Linked DNA regions of Arabidopsis thaliana. The protein of the gene in region 4 interacts with the protein of the main gene of each other region in a pairwise test. Each region holds a gene or a part of one and is shown on either strand. Other genes may lie near its edges.

Region 1 (4,359 bases), 1.3 Mb from region 4:
TCGCGTTAGAGGTGGAACTCCAATCTTTTCTAAATCTACTTCGCTCCATAGATCATCCAATAACAGCACAAATTTCTTTACGTTGAGGATGTTGCATATGTAAGAGGCTTTCTCCTTTTCTGTAACTTGTTTCCATCCCCTGTGAAGACCTAGTCTTCCTAAAATCTGTTCTTGAATGCCTTCATTTTGCAAATCTTTAGAAACCACAACCCATATAACAAGATCAAATCCATTCATCCCTTCAAGGAATTTGTTGTTAATAGAAGCTAAGAGCGTGGTTTTACCTACTCCCCCCATACCATAAAGACCCAAAGTTCTTCGTTCATCTTTCATGAGGCTGTTCCATGCCCTTCCGACCATTGCATCCAACCCAACTGTGGTTTGGATATGCTTCTTCTCCACCTTAGGCGCAGGAATTTTCTCTGCCACCACTTCAAAAACTCCTTTAGCTAGAAGTCCTTCCACGTGTTTCAACTTTTTCAGTACATTTATTCCGTAATTGCGGCCAGATATGAAATTCTTAGAACAATATCCACAGAGACATAACCTTTCAGTTTGAATTGATTTAGCTTTCAGCAGATCATTGACTTGAGAACAAACATCTTTAACCCTTGAAAGCCAACCTTGAACTTGAGCAAGCCGTTGCAAACCTTTGTCTTCTTCTATGACAACTCTTCTTAACAGATCATCTCTTCTCTCCTCGAGCTCTTGCATAGTATTCTGCAGAGCCTCGAGATTAGCCTCCATCTTGAGAATGTAATTCCGATCACCAAATAAGCAGCCACAAGCATGATTCAACGTTTGATCACAAGATATTTCTAGTGCTACACAGTTTCCCATCTTACTCAAACTTTCAAATATCAAGACGATGCAGGAAACAACACAAGATAAGGAGCACTGAATGGAGAAGAGGAAAAAGAGTACAATCGTGCCCTCCTGATATTGATTAGAAAATTTAAAAGTCAGACTGCAAGTTCTAATATCTTATTGAAAGTGGCAGCTTCAACGAAAAGTCAAGATGCGTGTTCAGATATCCACAAAATGACATTGACCATCAAACATTAAGAAACTATAAGATAAAGTTTTCTATCCACAAAATGATATTGACCATAAAAAAATATGAAGAGCACAACTATCTTTCAACTTTCAACTAATGTAACACTCTGCTACTGTAATTGTTGCCGTAATTACTCAATTCAAGCTCATCCCTTTCTTCCTCTTCTTCAGTATCATCTCCGATATGTTCGTCAATTGTCCCTCCGCCATAAAAAATCTCCTACTTTCACCAAAAAAAATAGACCTTATTTCTCTTTGGAAAAAGTTCGTAATTCATTAAAGAGCAAACACGAAGAACTAAAGCCATTAACAACTCGAAAAATTGCATAATTTTCCCGAGCACCAACAAGTGAAAACACGATGAAATAGTAATCCACAGATTGAGTTGAGATTGATCAAAAGCAATTCGAGGAATTTCTGAAGAAGCAAACAGAAGGAAACCGAACGAGATCGAAGCAGTGAAGCAAAAGCGTAGTCAAAGCGAAAGAGAATTAGTTACCGGCGGAAGAACAAATTTGAAAGCGACGACGGGCGGCAATCGCTTGAATTGATTGTGAGGGAGTGAGACTTGAGAGTGGAAGTATATCCGAATGGAGCAGTTTGATGAGAGAACCCGGTAAGCTTCTAGGACTCGAGCCATCGAGCCGGGTCTATTTTTACTGGAGAACGATGTCGTTTATGTTAAGGTTTACTATTATCCACGTATCGCTTGCAAGTTTGACTAAATGTGTAGGTCAACTTATATATAAACTTACTGTAGGGTGGAAAACACTGGATTATACCCGCCGAATCTCAGGTCATCGAATTAATTAATTTGTGATTACGCAAAACTGAAAAGCAATTTTCCGTTGAAGGGGTACGCAGAAATTCTGTCTGCGTCTCCGAACCAACTCTATCCTTCTCTCAATCCGATCCGTTCCGTTCACTACTTGTCTCAATTTCGAACCAATTGGATCGCATCTTTTAGGGGCTCAAACCTTTGGTGACGAGGACGAGGAAGAAGATTGTCGCATCTGATTTATATCGGAAAAAGGTCTCTTGCCGGAAAGGACACGATCCGCTTTCATAAAGGAGAGATTTTGACAGATTCAGTAGACGCCATGGATGTGCCTAGCTCTTGGGATGCTTTACGGAAACAGGTATTTTTCTTTTTATAAAATTATTGTGTCGTTTGATTCGAAGCTACTAGGTAATTGTGTTGGGGAAGCTGGTAGTGTCTGAAAATCTGTCTTGAATTTCGAATATTTGAGGTCTGAATTGATATCAATCTTCTGGGTTCGATTCGAATTGGGGAATTTATTGGTTTTGTTGGCTAATTCTCAATGATTTATCTTTTTACTGGATCCAATTGATATTTGAATAAGCTTTGTGTTGTATTGAATCCCACAGGCTAGAAAGATTGAAGCTCAGCTTGACGAGCAGATGCATTCATATCGTAGACTTGTTTCCACAAAGGCTTTATCAAAATCAGATGGTAATGAGAGTGATCTTGAAGCTGGGATTGACTTACTTCTTAGGCAACTGCAACAAGTTAATGCTCAGATGCAAGCATGGGTATCTTCTGGTGGGTCAGAAATGGTCTCCCATACTTTAACTCGACATCAAGAGATCCTTCAAGATCTGACACAGGTACTGTTCCTTTCCTGACTCATACCATTTGAATATTTGCCTTATTCTATAGCTTGTGTTGATTATATACTGATTAGTAATGAAATGAGTGTTATCTTTTTAACCATCTGTTCACACTCTGCTCTTGGACTAGTTTATGACTCAACCTTCGTTGTAAATCAGTCTTGTTCCTGTATGTATGACTCATTCAAAATGCAGGAGTTTTATCGACACCGCTCCAGTCTTAGAGCAAAACAAGAGCATGCTTCACTTCTTGAGGACTTTAGAGAATTTGATCGGACTAGATTAGATTTAGAAGATGGATATGGGTCTGAACAAGCCCTGATCAAGGAACATATGGGAATCAACCGCAATACAGCTCAGGTATATAAACTCTCCTTTGCGATTAACCTTTGTTAGACTCTACAGCTGTAGCGTACAATAGGCCTGGCTTTCTCAAGTTAATCGAACACGTCATGACTTATGTGAGCTGACTATTATATAAACGGTGCAGATGGACGGTGTCATTTCACAAGCTCAGGCAACACTCGGTACGCTTGTGTTTCAACGTTCAACTTTTGGAGGCATCAACTCAAAGCTTAGCAATGTCGCCAGCCGTCTACCTACGGTACGAAGAGCTTTCCTAGTCTTATTTACACACTCTTTTGCTCGTTGCTTTCTTTATGTTCGGTTATGGCCTGTGTTTATCCTATATCTCACCCTGCAATTGGATGGTTAAAACCACTGCAGGTGAACACTATTCTGGCAGCGATAAAGAGGAAAAAGTCGATGGATACAATCATTCTTTCACTCGTTGCGGCTGTATGCACATTTCTCATATTCATTTACTGGATAACCAAGTAGAATTTGCCCATTTCTTTCGTTTCATCTTTATGTTGGGCCACGTCTGGTTTTCCCATGATGTCAATTTGTTCTGCAATTATCGGTGTTCTAGTAAAGAATCTAAAGATCAAAAACATAAATATTGTGTACAGAAAATTTCATCCCTGTCTTTGCAGTCTAGACGAGCTTGTTAAATGTTGAGTTATTTTGGAGATGCCACACATACAGTACAACCATCTGTTTCTCTCATCTTGTAACTTTTTATTTGTGGGAGTATGTTGCTGCATTGAAAAGGGTACATGGCGCCTACATGCAATACGGCTTTAATATAATCATTATCATATATATGCTCGCAACTAATCCATATTAGATTTAAATGTCACATTACCTCTGGAAACTAAGAACCATGCCAATAAAAGTCCATCTAAGCCATATAATCATATATCCAAGGGAACATTCATTGGCTGCTTAAGAATGTGGTCGGCAGAAGATTTTATTTTTGCTCAACATAAGATTTAACAGTCTCCATCCATCTAATATACTCAGCTTTATCTTTGTTCTTCATGTACTGATGCAAGAACTCAGCAAGATCATCACTTATACCTCTTTCCTCCAAAAATCGATAAACCGAGTCTTGAAGTTCATCTTCCATTTCCCTGTAAAATTGAACAAAAGACAGTTTAGTTCCATCGTATCAGAAACAAAAAGAAAATGTTTATGTTTAAAAAAGAAGTGATCAAATCACAGTACTGGAATTCAGGTCCAATATAGGCATTTGGTGAGTTCTGGCTGCTTTTACGAACAAAGAACTTGGTGATCTGTATGGTATCAGGCCAAGCAGAACACATGATC
Region 2 (5,915 bases), on a different chromosome or scaffold from region 4:
TCTGATTCTCTCTTTGATGTGTGTTTAAACTTGGAACAGGTTTATAACCAAGAAATACAGCTCAGCGAAGACGCAGGTCGAGGCTGGTCCGGCTACAGCCTGTACCGGTGCCTTTGCTTAAACATTTGAAAACTTTCAGGTGACCGGAAAAGTTAGAAGCGACCTGTTTCTTTGCCCTACTCTGGTGTATGGTGGATTAATTTGCTATCCGGACAGGACTTTACTGCTCTCTTTTGAAACTTGAGTGTCAGGAGAATAAAATCTAAGCTTCTTTTTTTGGCTCAATCAAGTTGTCCGTTCCCTGTTCTAAACATTTCGGATACTCATTCCATAAAAAGTCTCTACAATTTGAGACGCTCTCCTTTGTGGTTAAGACTTGAGAATGTATCTTAGAAAATAACCGAAGTAGTTGTGTCTATGAATATTAAATTCAGGAATATTAAGATGTCACTAATATCAGAAGCAAGCAGCAACTAGAATATGCACTTCGTGGTAAATGGGCATTAGAAATTCTACAACACTTATTAAAGAACCGTACTAAACACTAGTTACTTGGATGAAAGTTACATATAAAAGTTTATATTAATCGACTAAGATTATTTGCTTGACTTTAGAGAAAGTTTGCATATATGTACCACAAATTGGTAACACTGCAAATAAAAAAACAAAAAAAACTGCAGGATAATGAAAATGTACTCCATATATGCACCTCCTAACTAGAGATGAAGCCTCCAAAATCATAGTCAATATGATTTATATTTGCAACACATATTTAGCCAACTGCCTTTGAACTTTGATAATTATATAAAACCCCCTTAACAAGTAAGAAAAACAAAAACTGAGACATGTGCAAGTAAGCTAAGACTTTTTCTTCTACTCATGGGGTTTTTCCTTTTGTTGCTTCTTCTATATGACGCCTGAAACTTTCAAAGAAGAAAGAACAACGAAGACGACCCAAAGCATCATGAAATAGGCAGAAGTAAGCCAAGCCCATAGCCTTGGACCTCCAAGCTCAGCTCCTATAATCAACCTTCTCAACACAAGCACCACGATACATCCCACTGATGTCGCAAAGAATATCAGAAGCGAAAAGCTTAATCCTTTAGCGTTTTCTATGTATAAAGGCTCTCTGTATGCAAAGTAGTTGTAGACTGTGTTTATCAGCCACGGAACTCCAATCCCCACATAGATGTTCACCGAGTTACTGCATAATTTATCACCAAAAAGATCATGAAAAGATCTTCAATGTTTGTAAAGGGTTTTGAGATTTTTACCTGCAGGTGATGTTTGCAATAGCTGAATCTGCGGTTAGTTGTCGCTCTGCAGCGATTTTACTTGCTACTAAGTCTGGCCATGAAGTTCCACTTGCGAGTGCTGTGAATGCTATCACATATGGGTTTATTCCTGCAAGATGAAAAGAGTTTCTAATGTTTTAGAGCTCAAATGTTTAATCTTATAACTTCAGTTTTTGAAAGCGGTGAGGGTGTGTACCAGTGACACAGCTTATAAGGTCAGTAAATCTTGTGACAACAAAGGCTACTCCACTGATGAAGAGGAGAGAGCAGATGAAAGCGATCCAACCGTGAGCAATGTTGCAGGGGGGCACAAATGCAAAAAGCAGTTTCCAAGGGGCGAGGAGTAAATGCCAGAAAGATTTCGCGATTCGAAGATAAATGCTATCCACTTTCTTTGATTCTGATGTTTCCAACTGTTTGATTACGAATAGGAAGAGAAACAAGTTAAGAAAGATGTGTTGATAATGATCAAAAGCCCAAAATAGGATATAGAAGAATCTAGAAAACACTTGGTAAGTTGAAGATTTTTACCGTTATTGCATCCACGAATTGATGTTTCCAAATGTCAAAAACAGTAGAATTCTTCGCCTTACCCTTCTTAGTCGCAGAATCGGGTGGAGTATCTGCCACAGTATGATAAGTGATCCCTGCAAAAGTGTTTGTTACAGGGAAAGTTTGATTTATAACAATATACTACCAGAGATAAATATGGGAATCACATAGATTTGGAAATAAGCAAATACGCTAAAACTGATCTTATATCAATAGAATAGACAGCCTAATCATACTTAGTACCTGTATCATTGTTAGCTGAATGAATAGAGAAGATATCAACAATGTTTCTGCTTCCCGATTCAACAGCATCTTGAGCAGCATCCGAATACACATCATGAACATCATTGTCATTGTCATCTTTGGATGTATCAATCTCCTCTGGAACCCACTCCTCTGGCCTATCACCTCTTGACCTGCAAGTATCAAATACAAACACAAAGATACAATCTTTAGTAGAAATCCATTTTGAAGGAACTAATATTATTGTCTGGAAAAGAAACCCACATTGGTAAAGACAAGTAAGGCCATCGCTTGTCTTGGGCGTACGCATGAACTAGAAGCAATCCGTATTGCAGTACTGTCAATAATGCCTCCACAAGTGTAATTACGTTTGGTGACCACACCTGTGAGACGTGAAAAGAAACAGATTTTTAGACCTTATCAGTATAGAGTATAGACTCAACAGAATCTGTTTAAACCGCTTTTCACAGTTACCTCGAGGATTATGTATAGCCAGATGTAAGCCCAAAAAGACCATACGAGCTCAACTAGCCAAACACCTAAGTCGGATATCTTTTTCAGTTCTCCAGCTTTTGGCACAACGACACAAACAGCGTGGATGGGGAAAAGATCAAATGCAGCTGAGCCAACAAGTGTTCCAGGACCAAGACCTATATGACAAAACATGATATAAGAATTCATGAACTTAAAAGTAAAAACTAGAGTTTTGGAAGGAAGAAAGGAACAACCACCAGACCTCCAGCATACCGCTCCCCCATATTCCGTATTGCATCGATGGTAGCCAAAGAAATCTGAGGGAAGCTAGTTCCAAACGCCAACAAACTGATGTCTGCAATAGTAAAGTTCCAAACTTTCTTGTATGTGATGACTTCAGCTTTAGTAATGGGATCAATTGTAACCACTTTACGGGAATGTTTCACGACATTCTCCATAGACTTGAAGAACCGTGCAGTGATGGCTGACAACCCAATAAAGCAGTAGGCAAGACCGAGAAAATATAACACACCCCTCAAACCATCTGACAAAGTGTTTTCTCCGGGGAATAGAAAGAAGTTTTCACATCTTAAATGCCCAAGAACCTTAGAAGATTCTTGCAACTCCTGGGTTTGATTAAGAATTGAGGCCATTGTAACTTATTCAAACCCCACCTCCTAATAAGTCAACTGAACACTTGTCCTCACTGGGGAAAAGAATCTGGCACACCAAAAAGAAGCTTACAACTTTTAGAAGAAACTGATGAAACCTGTAGCCTGATCGATCGAACAGTATCAAGAGGATGCGAAACAAACGGAACATGCAAAAAGATTTCTTTCCAGAGAATCTGTAACACAAACTAAACATTGCAAAGGATCCAATGGCATGTAACCGAAATCCAATCTATAACCAATGCTAATAACAATTGCATGTTCCACTGTATGCGTAATCAAAATCCAGAGGTAACCAGATCAAAAGATTATAACTTTCATCATGGGTTCAGTAAAACAAGTTGGGTTCTTTTCACAAAACCATAATTTTCAACGAACAAATCTCAACAAAAATAGCTAAAAAATAAGAAAAGAACAGATGAAACAGAGTGAGCCACGCGACGAAATTGATCAATGCGGACGTACCGGAGAATATCTCGGTGAGCGGCATTCACAATACGCCGATCACGGGAGAGATTTTCCGACAAACGGAAATCGAGAGGAGCTGATTGGAATCGGTCAAGCGTTGGATATTGCGGTGGAGACTTGGGAGCCATTTATACACATCTCTCTAATCTCTGCATGACACACTTCAATTATTGTATCGAAACGAGGATTCAAGCGTACATCGACCGACACGTGATCTTATCTAATTGGATGATTTACTTGACTAACTAGGATTAATTAATCTCGCCTTTCTTTGGTAAGGTTTAAGAATATGAGACCTCAATTGCAAGTTTTTTTTATATCTTTTTACTCCCTGAATTTTGTTTCATTTCATCCTTATAAGCATTAGATTTTAATTTCAACCTGAGTAATATTAGTTTTATCATCTCCTCGAGTTTAGATATTATCATAAACATATATCTTACTAAAAACCTGACCTGACTAATTTATTTTCTTTATAAAAGATAAACATGATAAATATGAAGTGTGAACGCATTATCAAATCAGAATTAGTGGATATATATGTATTTTGTTTTTTTCTGATTAAAAAAATTATTGAGATATATACAATTGAACTATGAGGACAAAAAATATATATATATATATATATCTTATTATATAAAGTATGGTTTTCAAAATTGACTTGGCACAGTGTCAAGTCAAACGATTAGATGTTTACATGTGTCATTCAAAATTTAACTTTTTTATTCTTTAAAAAAATAGAAAATCTTAAAAAGTAAACAAATTTACATATACTAATTTATATGTCTATATATTTATAAACAATTAACATTTATTCAACAAAAGCAAAATTAACAAATTTGTCTTTAACTCATGTAATCATAAGTGAAAATAGAACACTTTGAGAAAAATAGCTTAGCTTATAGGATTTAACTTTTCAATTATTTTCATTTATTAATTTTAACTCATTTAATATTAATTTGCATGATGTAAAATTAACTTACGAGATTACGTGGGTGATTGGTTTGTCTGTAACTGTAGATTTACTGCTGTAGAATTTTTGTTGTAGGTGTGATGACTGTAGCTGTAAGTTTTATTGCTGTAGAAATTAGACTGTAGGTTTTATTAATATAATTATTACTTAAAGAAATTGGGTAGAAATAAGATTTTGGTTGTATGTATTTTTAAACAAAAAAATATTATCGGGTCGGGTTCGGTTTGGGTTCGGGTTCGGGTTCGAGTTATTTATATATTGAAATATCAAATTTTGTGTGCAAATCTATTAAATTACTTGAAATTTTCAAAAATTCCCAAAACAACATGAGTAGTTTTGCTTGAATATATCTAAAAATACACAAAAATAACTAAAATATCCAAAAAAATTCTAATATTTTCTATATATAAGTATAAATATAACTAATATATACTTATATTTGAGATATGTTTGCATACCTATTCGGGTTTGGGTTTGAGTTTTTCGGGTTTTAAAGTTTATATCCGTTCGAGTATTTGAAAATTTCGGGTACACCCGCCTAAATAGGCGGACCTTATCTAGTATATATATACATTTGAACTATATTGTTTACTTTTTAGTTGATTTAGGCTATGTATGACATTGACATAAATCTACCTGTTATTTATCACGTGTAATTCGTGTAAAGTGTAAACTAGAAAGTTCAAATACGTATTTGTTTTTGTTCTGTTATATAGGATTGTCATAGTTGTAAATCTACAATTTATTACAACATGAATAAGTACACAAGCAATGTAATTGGATTTAATTGCTAAACTCTTTACATGGTCAATCTAAATTTGATAAGAAATACGTCACATATTACTAAGACTGATAGTTTTTTTGTTGTCACCAATTATTTTTGTTAAATTGACGAAAACAATTCCAAAAACTCAAATGTACAAAATCATACAGTCTCACAAACATCTCATAGAGAAAGATATAAATCTCCCATATGGGAACGATAACACGAGGTCGAAATACTATTCGTAAAACTAAAACGCCTTAGTTATAAATCGTTAGTTGTAACCGCGGTCGAGAATACATACAGATCCACGAAACTACTACTACACATGCTGCTGAATTGGAATTTGGAAAAGACCATCTTCTTTAGGAAGAGCTCACCCAATGAGTGACAAAGGTGTCGGTGGCTTGTTTTCTACCCATATGTATACATCAAATGGTAGTTTCATTAACGTTTGGTTTTGAGAAAAGTAAGAC
Region 3 (5,479 bases), 3.5 Mb from region 4:
AGGGGATGCATCTCTTGGTTAGATGCGCCATATGGGTAGGTAACCGCAAGGCAATTGTTTGGTTACATGGCGGTTATGATGGTAGCCATCAAGTGACATACGACCACAAAACCTTGAAAATGACTTTGTAAGCAAATGCAGAGTAGAAACGTTAATAGAAAACCAAACTTGCCTTGATCCTCTATTGCCCAACTCCTCCAATACATAAGATGTGATAGCAACTTATGTAGGACACACCAAACCAAATAAATTACACAATCTGTGAGTGTCTGTTTTCAAGATTTCCCCGACAATTCCATTAAGCAAAATAAATAATAATAACTCGAAATTGACACAACCACACGAATTTGAAAAAAGCTGAAATCCATATCTCATGGGACTCAAACATCCAATGTTGATTCAATAATTGTAGTCCTAAAAATAAATCAATAACTAATACATTTTCATAAATTTTAGTACTAATACATAAGTTAGCATTTTGGTTTTTAACATAGCTGAAAACAGAACGTCACATTATTTGGAGAAACATTAAGTACTAAATATTTAGCATGAAATAAATTTCATATAATTCATATGGATCACAAGGTTTTTTTTTGGCAAACATAGATTATAAGTCACACTAGTCTAAATTCTTGAAGGGCTTGTATGACTTGACACTATTAATTAAGCCAATGATGGATCCTACGGCGGCAAGGGCCGAGACGATCAAGCAAACCAATACGAGGAGGTTCAAGGCCAACCATCTACGAGAATACTTCTTGACTTTAGCCTGCGCAATGTGCATTGCCACCGGAAAATAAACTGTGAGTGGCCAGAACGCGAATGCCCCTAGCAAACCCAAGATCGCATTGAAGAAGGGGAATATCATTGCTACAAATGTTGTCAAAACAACATAGCATGTCCTCCAAACCAGTCTGAAGAGGTTGACACGACATTTTCCAAGCAAAGGAACCTTTGACGAGTATTCTTTGTTGATGAAATTGCTTTGAGGCCATTTTTTGTTGCAGTTTTCCTCAACAAACTGGAAAAACGGCTGCGCATACACCTGCGAATAATACAGGGATAAAAAAAAAAAAAGAGCATTTTTTAGAAACAATATTTAGTAATAACTCCATTTCTACAATCTTCTGAATTGTTAAAGCTAAAAATTCTAACACAATAATGAGACTTTTAATGAACTTGAACACGGTAAATGTATGTTACACACTTATCCTATTCTTTTGTTTGTGAGTTATACCTGATAGGCACCTATTAGATGGAGAGCAATGCAAGCATTGGCAAAGTCGATGAGCCAATAAGGTTCGTAAAAACCAAAATCGGTAAGGAAGTCACCAGGGGCTTGGTTGCCGAACGCAGCATATCCGATGCAACCACACAAGATGTAGAAAACAGTTGTGGTTGAGACTCCGACAAGACTTGCTCGTTTCATCACTTTGTTCTCTGGTGGGCTTGATCTCAATGTGTCCTGCAAAATAAACAAGACATACTACTAGAGCGTCACTATCTTTAGAGCTTCACATATCTAAAATATGAAACTATTTTTATCCATCATCCATCCATCTATATTTTTTCCTAACTGTCTAATTAATAATAACATCTTATCTTCAAGGTATTCTTATTTTACCTCTCTTTGGCGAAATTAATAATAACAAGCAAATGAAAACAATAGTAAACGGAAGATAGTAGGAATCAGTAGTACATGCCTGAATCTCGATGAGAATAGTGGTAAAAGCGTATGAAAAGGCAATGTCTCCAATCGCTTGAAACAATTTCCAAACTTTTTCAGACGCAGTTACGTCCACACCTATCACTGTCCCTGTCAATTCTGTCTTACCAATCTTCCCACCTTTCATATATATTGTATACCATTTTCACGGTTAGTGTCAACTTTGAAGAATCATCCATATAAACCACTATGTTTTAAGATAAAGAAGGGGAATGTACTTGCTACAGTAGCGATGGCTAGGCCTATTCCGATAGACGCATAAGAGAAGGACATAACCGCGGCGATGATGGATAGGAAAGAGAGCTTGTGGAAGTTAGGAAGCTGGCTCAGAATGATCTGGACGATCCCAAATGCCGCCATGTATGGATAATTCGATACAGAACATTTCGCTTTATGTCCCTTGTCATGATAACAATTTGATTTCCCAATCGCTCTAACGAAGACGTACAAAAACACCAATCAAACAATTATTAGTAATTTTATTCAGAACAACATGTTAGTATAACCATAACAAAATAATCGAAATAAATCAGAATCTTTGACTTACACTAAGCTTATGGAGGCAGTGATGGTGTAACCAATAGTGACCCCTACGAGATTCACGTACTGTGCCACTCCACATAGCTGAACCTTTTTACCACCTGCGTTTTATGTTATTAAAGAAGAAAAATGATTACTCTTGTACTACTATCAAATACTACCAATCTTTTGGTCTTATGGCAAAGTTTCTAAACATCCCGCATAATTCCAAATTTTCAACGAGGGGTCAACAATCGAATTTATAACATTCTTTAACGGGATAAATTGAATTGACTATGTTACCAATCCTAATCAATTTAATTTATTAACTAAGTTATGAAAGAATGAAGATTATCTTCCTTTTTTTTATATAGATTTTGATAATTAATTCATATCTTCCCATGAAAGAGCATGCACACTTGGCAAAATCGTAAATCATTTTTTTCTAACAACCATATTTTTTTCTTTCATTGTTCAACAACAATAATGTTCTTCAACAAATTTACATGGTAAAAAATTGTTGAAATGAGCCAATTATACTGTAGATTTACAAATTCCAACTTAGCATTAAATATATATTTTTAGATCAGATTTTTTTTCTTTCGCCAGCCATCATCATTGTGACAGAAATGGAAGAAAATCAAAACACATGTCCTAAATTGAGACTAGTTAGGCAAAATCTAAATGATATCAAATGAACAAAATCCTTGTTCATCTGAGAAAAAATGTCTAGAAAACTGAAAAATCTGTGAAAAACAATGCTGATAAAGACACAAAATGAATTTGTTTATATGAATCCATACCAAGGTAAGATCGGACGACGCCCATGTAATTATAGTTGCGTGTTCCGGTGATGGAGTCCGGCGAACGGTAACAGTCGGCGAGCAAGGTGGACGTGTAGTAAGTAATGATGGCGAAAGCGACCAAAACTGTGGTTCCTGCCACCCAACCAAGCTGTGCTATAGCCCAAGCCAACGACAGCACCCCTGAGCCTATGACCGCCGTGATTATGTGCGCACTCGCCGTCCAAAATGTTCCCGTTCTCTTCTCTCGACCATCGTCGTCGACGCTTTTCACGGCGGCGTCACCCGACTCCACCGCCGAGGGATTGTTGTATGCGTCCATCATTGTGAGAGAACCACTGAACCAGAGGAGAGAAGAGAGGGGAAGAGAGTTATTGACAGAGGTCGTCTTATTAGAGTACTCCCTCACAATCACGTACTTACATGTATTATATACACAAATATCGATGTTTATATGGAAAGAGCATCTTTGTACGTTGAATCTTATTTATTAAGAGAATCTTCTATTACGAGGATTTATTTCTTTTGACTTTGATTTTGAATGTGTAACCACTATTGCTTATTCCGGAAACAAAAATTGGTCCGCATGTTGAAAAGAGGATTTACCTACATTAACGACACTACGAATAATCGAAATTAGGTAACTGATTAAAATTAGATGAGTAAAACAGAGAGATATTTCCTTCAGATCTTGGCCTCTTGCATAGCTATATCCTCTCTTCTATCTTGCTCATTTATCTTCTCAAATCCTCACATGCACATGATTCATTAATCGGGAAATTAAATCATTAACATTGAGTTATAATGATGTATTGATGTGAATCTATATATATATATTGTTGTATCAACTAAATATTATGATATATCTACAACATTTTGTTATTAGTATCGCATCAAATACAAAATTATGTGGATTTACATGTTTGTATTATATTTTACTACTATTTTAACGGTTTACAAAAACATGTAAACCAAACCATAAATTTCACTAATTTCAATTATGTACGATTTTGAGTCTTCATTACTTCTTATCGTTTCTTTCACTCTTATAGTCTTATCTCACAATCCGTAATTTGTGCACAATTAATGAATTCAATGTTGTATTTTGTCGTATTAAATATGGATTTTGACCAACATAAACCTGATTTTTTAGTGGATTATTTTAAAATATATCCACAAAATATTCCTTCGAATAAAATCCCATTCTAACTATATCCATAAAATGCCCATCCCAATTGTCGAGACAGAATCAGATATCTAAAATGACACATAATAAATGTCGCATATTACACCATTAAAGTACGGTACGTTGACCTCCTACCTGACTATGAACAGCTCATCAGACAGCTCCCTGTGCCCTCAAGTAGGGGTGTGGATAAATTGGTCTGGTTACCGGTAAAATCTGGAGAGTATACCTCAAGATCAGGTTACGGGGTAACATCCTTGACAGTGCTACCAACAGCTCAGGTCCGCTTTAACTGGCAAGCAAACCTTTGGAAACTCCACACTATGCCGAAGATCAAACTTTTCCTATGGAAGGCGGCTGCAGGAGCTCTCCCTGTGGGTGCACAACTCGTAAGAAGGCATATATCATCAACTTGGGATTGTGCACGCTGTGGGGCTCCGGAGACTTCCACCCACATGCTGTTTCACTGTGATTTTGCGGCACAAGTTTGGAACCTAGCGCCCCTCCAATTGGGTCACATCCCTATCGGTACCCCTATTTTGGAAGCTCTTAACTTACTTAAGAAAACCATCGTTCTCCCCCCGGTTGGGATTCATACAGCAACCCTCTTCCCCTGGATCTGTTGGCACATCTGGAAAGCCAGAAATCAGCTTATCTTCCAAAATTCTCATTTCTCTGTGATAGAGACTGTTACAAAGGCGGTTCAGGATGCCTTAGCGTGGCAATCCGCCCAATTGGCGCTCCCAAAAGTTCGTGTAGCGACCCCCCGCCCAAACTCCACAACAACTCTGACTCATGATTTTCTCTGCTACGTGGATGCGGCTTGGCAACAACAGAGCTCCCTCGCTGGCTCTGGCTGGGTGTTCCAAGCAACCTCACACTCGGAGAAAGAAATTACCACCTTCTCAGCCGGATGCCGTCGGTTCCCCTCGCCCTTAGCGGCGGAGGCTTGGGCTATCAAATCGGCGATGCTACATGCTTTACAACTGGAAAGATCCGATCTCCTTGTGTTATCGGACTCAAAATCCATAGTTGATGCTTTGAACTCCAATGTCTCCCTCAATGAGATATTTGGCCTTCTAGTGGAAATTCGATCTATTCGAAACAGATTCCGCTCTATCTCCTTTCAATTTATCCCTCGCTTAGTTAATTCGATTGCTGATGCTGCGGCTAAGCTCTCCCTTTGTATTTCTGGTAATATCGGGCTTGACCCGGGTACTCTTGTTTTTGTTTGATTTGGAATGG
Region 4 (5,710 bases):
AAAAGGTTGTTTGTTTACTATTATTGAAGTTTGCTCCAATTAAATTACAGAAACCAAAACTTTCGTTTGTCCAACTTTGCCTTTCACTGACACTCACTCGTGTTGAATGGTGTGAATATGTGAATCCGTTACTTTGAGAATATAAACAAGGAACGGTAACTACAAAAACCATTTTCATGTTCTTGTAACGTATTATTTCGTTACTATCTGTAAATTGTCTAGATATTTTCCTAGTTTATTACTTTTGGAAGAAAATGACCTTAGTATTGTTTACTTGGTTCTGATTTCTTAATGAATGGTCAAATTGGACAGTGGGACATGCCAAGAATGTTATATAAAGAATGATTTTAAAATTGTTATTATATTGTTGTTTTCTTTTTCAAATCGACCGCCGTTTGCATTGGAAATAGTCCTTTCATGTTCGCCAAACAACAAAACTCCCAAAGCAGTTTCTATCACATGGTAGCTTTCCCATTTGGATCCAAAACACTAACATTTGCATTTCTGATTTTCTATACTTAATTCAAGATATTGTTGAATACACAAATATAGTGCTATTAATCTTGAGAATCCGAAAAATTACACACAAAAACAAAAAATCAAATTTAAAGGTATAATGATATGCTTGTACAAGATAAACAAATTATAATCAATGTCAAGAAGAAATACATTGAACAAAGCATGAAATACAGACACAGGGAAGGGACAAAAGAATGATCTGTAATGGAGAAAGCAAAAAGTGAAAATTTTGTCTTCTTCTTCCTCTTCTTGTTTTGATCATCTGAACAAAGCTTGGATCTCTTCAAGCGTTTTTCCTTTAGTCTCAGGAACCCAAAGACTCACAAAAACCACAGTGAATCCACAAACCAAAGCGTAGAGAGTGAAAGTTCCCCCACTGCTCCATGCTAACAGCATATTTGCAGTCATTGTCACTAACCATGACACGAACCAGTTTAACAAAGTTGCTATACTTCCGGCTAAACCCTTTATATTCACTGGCAGAATCTGTTTTACCAACATTAATCAGTATTAAAATTTCCAGTTGTGATTTTAACACTAAGGAACACCATGTTTTAATATTTAGTACCTCAGACATAATCAGCCATGGAATTGGTCCCATTCCTAGAGAGCAAGAAATAACCATAGCCTGTAAATAACTCAGCCAGATTTAGTACACATACCGGGAAATATGTAAATAAGAAAGTATCTTTCGTTGTGTGAATGTATAAAACAAACGACTTACCACAACTCCAACTACGGAAACCATGCTTAGAATGTTGTACATGTTGGAATCAGGTGATACAAATTCCTAACAAAAGATTAAGAAACCTCAATATCTCATAATTAGAGTGACACTCTTACATTGTACAAGTAGAGATGTCAAAAGTTAAAATGTTACCTTAAGGTAAAATGCAACTGCTACAATCACGAGGCTTATCGTCATTCCGATAGAAGAGATCTGCATTTCAGAAGAAAATGCTAATATTATGTTATGCATACATAAATTCTTCAGACTTTGTAAGATATACAGATGAATCTCAAATATTCTTCACCATGAGTAGAAGCCGACGACCTGCTTTATCCACCAACCATGTCGCTATCCCAGTCGCCACTACCTGGTATAGAATGAACAACGGTTAGAAAAATCGAATCTAATGTCTCCTAGATTGAAATGATATACCTGAACAACGCCAACTCCAAATGTCGCCACATTACTTGATGTCACCCCTTAGTGAATGATAATTGCAAACAAAGAAGCATAGTTAGAAATCTGTTTATTCTATCTTAGGACCATTCCAATAATCAAAAAAAACATATGACTCTACCTGCAGATTCAAAAATTGTACTCGAATAGAACAAGACACCATTGATTCCTCCAAGTTGTTGAAGTGCAAGCAGCCCTATACCAACCTGTAACACAGATTACAGGAAAAGAGTGAGTTTCTCTCATGTGTTGACAAAATTAGTTCAAGAGAGGTAAGAGAAATTGCACCATCAGTGGGAAATAGTATCTCCTGCGCTTGAGGTCTACAAACCGAACTGCAGAACGTTTGCTAGATGATGCCACAGATCTCTGCAGAGTGCATAAAATGAAAATTTTAAATAAGACAAGAAATCACATCAAAGCATTTCTTCAGTTTAGTCACTACCTTGATTTCATTAACCTCAACGGTAATATCAGTCTCAAATCCACGAAGAACTTGCAATGAAGTTTCGAAATCATCTGTCAAACCCATCTTTGCCTACAATTACAACACCAAAACAATTTAGGATAACCAATAATGCAACAAACTCAACAATATAAGCAATACGGTTGTAGAGGCATACCAACCACCGAGGAGATTCAGGAATGAAAAAAAGACCCGGTATCAACAATGTACATGGCAATACTCCTAAACATAAAGAAGACAAACAAGAAAGTGATTAGACTGTATCGATCAAAATAAAATAAAAACAGGTATAGTTTCTCCCAAGTCAAGTCAAAATGTTTTGTGAGTTACCCAAAACTGCAAGAATTCTCCATGGAACAAAGAGACCGAGTAAATACGCCAGCATTATCCCAATTGTTACAGAAAGCTATAAACACAAAACATTTATTGTTTAGTGTTAACATATGAATCAGCTCATAAAATGAAACATAAAAATAGTGAAGCTAACTAAACATGACAAACCTGGTTAACTGAACCTAAGGCTCCTCTCATGGTCTGTGGAGCGATCTCAGCTATATATACGGGAACCTAAAATCGCAATTCAAAGGTGTGTAATTATATTGATCACTCCAAACAAACATTGCTGAAATCAAAGAAATAGTTGAATCTAATATTACCGTATAGGAGATAATCCCAACTCCGAAGCCTTCTAACAATCTTCCCATGTAAAGAAAAGAAGTATCCTAAACAAAAACCAAGAACAACAACAACTTAGTAGGTATAGAGATAAGCCAAGAATATCAGAAACTTTGAGAACACCAAAACACTCACTTTTGCAAATGATATCGAAAGCCATCCAATAATATTGGGAATTGCAGCAATCATCAGAGACTGTCAAAAGGAAAGAAAAACACAGTAAATAAGATACAACAAGAAAGAAGATGTTACATGACAAATTGTCACAGATGAGAACATGTTTTAGAATCAAGAAACAAAACTATTATACCCCTTTCCGTCCAACGTATTCAGCAATCTGACCACTCGCAATTGCTCCAACCATAGCACCCACATTGGATAGAGACCCAAACACAGAGTACTAAAACATCAAACAAGAAACCTAAAAGTCAGAAAATTACAGAACAAGAGTCTTTACAAAAAAAAAAAAAAAAAACAGAACAGTTCTTAAATAAAGATGGGACCTTCATACCTCTGATACAGTTAAACCAAGATCCTTAGTAATGGCAGCTTGAGTTGGTGAGGAATAACCACACTGAAAACAAAAAGATAAATCAAAATCAACACTTTCTTAGTCAATTTGAGCAAAAGCAGAGAAATCCACATTGATAAAAAAAAATATAAGAAAGTTGAGATATTTGTTTATGTTGTTCTTACAGTGAATCCGAATTGAATAGGACCAAGAGCAACAATCAAAACACAAGCTAAGACAGAAATTGAGCTGTCTCGAATAACTTGAGACGATTCCAACATACTAGATTGTCTCGAACCCATCCGATACCAACTTCCTGTGTGTAAGAACGGTCGCCGAAGATCATTTCTTCCCTCTTCCGTATTATCATCCCTAAAACTCATCTTTTTGTTTTTCTTAAATCTACAAAACAATCGTAATCTACAGAGAGAAAAAAGCACGAATCTTTCGGAGGATAAAAATGTCGATCCTAAACTAGAAAATGCAGAAGAAGAAAAATACGAAATTTGAGGTAGGATTTGAGTTTTGGGTGAATTCAAAAAGATGTTAGACTTGTTTTGCTTAAGAATTCTTCATGGTTTGTAAAAATTGAGCCTTTGCGTGGAGAGACGCAGACTGTTTCATAGTTTTCCACCTCAGAACGCGTCGCCTAACATCGATTTATAGAATTCGTAAAGGGACCTGTTTTTTTTCTTCTCTGTCGACAAAAAAAAACTTAATTTAAAAACATTTTAATTTGTAATTAAATAAGATATCGTTCATTTTAAATTCTTTTATATCAAATTTAACTATTGTTTTTTTTTGTCTGATTGTCGTTTTCGAGTTATTTTTTGCGCAAAGATAATTTTTTGAATCATTGTCCCATGTTCGCTCACATATACAAGCATTTGTAGTCGCTTTGAATCATTTATTTTCTTCTACATACTTCTACATACTCATTAGTATTATAATGAGCTTTTACAATGTAACTAATTACGCAACAATACTATAAAATTGTGGTACAGGCTGAGACTAAACTATATTGTATTTTTAAGAAAATGTTTTTCTTTTTGTTTAGGTAAACTGTCTACTTCAAAGATATTTTTTGGTAGGAATAATAATTAAAACTTCCCATATTAGAATACGAGGCCACTAGACATTCCTTTTGACAACAAAAAGTGACAATGTCATTTTATATTTTAGCACTTATAATAATAGTTAGCATGCATTATAGAATTCATATTTAGATGTTGTCCTAACTCTTAACAAAATCAGAATAACAATATTGTGGGAGAAAATTTAGCTAAAACTTCAATTTAGGACAAATAATAAGATTATTAAAGTAACACTTAAATATGAATATAATGCTCGAATCCTCCTCTACTTTTTAGCATTTTCGCTACCTCGTTGATATTGATGTCGATAGGTCACAAATATGCAAGTGACATTATTTTATTAGATAAACTCGAATAATTATAGTTTTTGTTTTCTAGTATATGAAAAATATATGGATGTCATTAATTTCGAATACTTCAATAAATATAAATATTTATTCAGATACAACATTATTTATTTATTTTCAATATTTAAAATCTTTGAGAATACGACATGTTATTTCAATGTTTACCAATAACATCCTACTATATTATTTAGGAAATACATTTTAAATATAACTTTATTTTTTTGTAAGTAATTACATAGGTATGTCATTAGAAATAAGATTTTAAAGAGTAAATTAATTTATTTCTTTAAAAATTAAAAGTCAAATACTAATTTAATTAATTAAATTTAACTCAAAAACGAAATACATTATTAATTTCCAAAAAAGTAACCAATTAAAATCAACAAATTAGATTTGATATCTAAATTATCATATTAATTTTTTATTAATTATTATAGTTCACCTCTCATCTTTATATGATTCTATTTTTGCAAAAAAATAATATCATCGTTATAAAAAAATAATTAGAATTTTTTCGCATATGCCACAATTTGAATTTTTAAAAACGAATATAAACTGTTCAATACATGAAAAAATACTATAACGGGTCAAAAGTAGATTTAAGAAATTTTTTTACTGAGTACTGTGTCATAGTTTGAATATTTATATTCAATTTCATACATATTATTTTAAAATTTATAATCTTATATACTACAATAATTAATAACATATTAGATTTTTTAATGTGTATGATGTGATTCAATTTTTAATACAAGCTGAAAAATCCTACAATTGACGGGTTTAAATCAATATTAATACAAGATGATATACTATATGTGAAACTTTAAAATTAACAATCAAAATACAAGTATATAATTTTAAACACTAAACAATATAAATAATATCAACAAAACATATACAACTCGCAGTTTA

The links.
Region 1: the proteins of AT1G19450 (region 4) and GOS11 interact in a protein complementation assay, tested with the Arabidopsis thaliana proteins (one large-scale study listed by BioGRID).
Region 2: the proteins of AT1G19450 (region 4) and MHX interact in a protein complementation assay, tested with the Arabidopsis thaliana proteins (one large-scale study listed by BioGRID).
Region 3: the proteins of AT1G19450 (region 4) and AAP8 interact in a protein complementation assay, tested with the Arabidopsis thaliana proteins (one large-scale study listed by BioGRID).

What each region holds. Positions count from the first base shown.
Region 1 is NC_003070.9:5,457,887-5,462,245, reverse strand, and holds GOS11 (golgi snare 11), read left to right. Parts: upstream 1-1,886; 5' UTR 1,887-2,156; coding exon 2,157-2,195; intron 2,196-2,445; coding exon 2,446-2,685; intron 2,686-2,883; coding exon 2,884-3,048; intron 3,049-3,178; coding exon 3,179-3,292; intron 3,293-3,414; coding exon 3,415-3,528; 3' UTR 3,529-3,848; downstream 3,849-4,359. Other genes in the region: AT1G15890 (Disease resistance protein (CC-NBS-LRR class) family), read right to left, coding at 1-840; AT1G15885 (uncharacterized protein), read right to left, coding at 1,151-1,276, 1,556-1,696; AT1G15870 (Mitochondrial glycoprotein family protein), read right to left, coding at 4,001-4,163, 4,258-4,359. UniProt on the Arabidopsis thaliana protein: Involved in transport from the ER to the Golgi apparatus as well as in intra-Golgi transport. It belongs to a super-family of proteins called t-SNAREs or soluble NSF (N-ethylmaleimide-sensitive factor) attachment protein receptor.
Region 2 is NC_003071.7:19,523,612-19,529,526, forward strand, and holds MHX (magnesium/proton exchanger), read right to left. Parts: upstream 3,970-5,915; 5' UTR 3,701-3,969; intron 3,285-3,700; 5' UTR 3,218-3,284; coding exon 2,827-3,217; intron 2,741-2,826; coding exon 2,565-2,740; intron 2,474-2,564; coding exon 2,355-2,473; intron 2,264-2,354; coding exon 2,091-2,263; intron 1,943-2,090; coding exon 1,827-1,942; intron 1,709-1,826; coding exon 1,492-1,708; intron 1,405-1,491; coding exon 1,275-1,404; intron 1,205-1,274; coding exon 907-1,204; 3' UTR 506-906; downstream 1-505. Other genes in the region: PHR2 (photolyase/blue-light receptor 2), read left to right, coding at 40-121.
Region 3 is NC_003070.9:3,263,867-3,269,345, reverse strand, and holds AAP8 (amino acid permease 8), read right to left. Parts: upstream 3,461-5,479; 5' UTR 3,374-3,460; coding exon 3,049-3,373; intron 2,368-3,048; coding exon 2,274-2,367; intron 2,160-2,273; coding exon 1,945-2,159; intron 1,847-1,944; coding exon 1,704-1,846; intron 1,466-1,703; coding exon 1,238-1,465; intron 1,046-1,237; coding exon 620-1,045; 3' UTR 523-619; downstream 1-522. Other genes in the region: AT1G10000 (Ribonuclease H-like superfamily protein), read left to right, coding at 4,558-5,469. UniProt on the Arabidopsis thaliana protein: Amino acid-proton symporter. Stereospecific transporter with a broad specificity for glutamate, aspartate and neutral and acidic amino acids.
Region 4 is NC_003070.9:6,730,894-6,736,603, forward strand, and holds AT1G19450 (Major facilitator superfamily protein), read right to left. Parts: upstream 4,132-5,710; 5' UTR 3,741-4,131; coding exon 3,543-3,740; intron 3,421-3,542; coding exon 3,358-3,420; intron 3,247-3,357; coding exon 3,157-3,246; intron 3,042-3,156; coding exon 2,982-3,041; intron 2,894-2,981; coding exon 2,828-2,893; intron 2,739-2,827; coding exon 2,673-2,738; intron 2,578-2,672; coding exon 2,502-2,577; intron 2,394-2,501; coding exon 2,329-2,393; intron 2,244-2,328; coding exon 2,151-2,243; intron 2,075-2,150; coding exon 1,994-2,074; intron 1,912-1,993; coding exon 1,827-1,911; intron 1,729-1,826; coding exon 1,682-1,728; intron 1,617-1,681; coding exon 1,554-1,616; intron 1,460-1,553; coding exon 1,400-1,459; intron 1,310-1,399; coding exon 1,244-1,309; intron 1,148-1,243; coding exon 1,088-1,147; intron 1,006-1,087; coding exon 778-1,005; 3' UTR 518-777; downstream 1-517.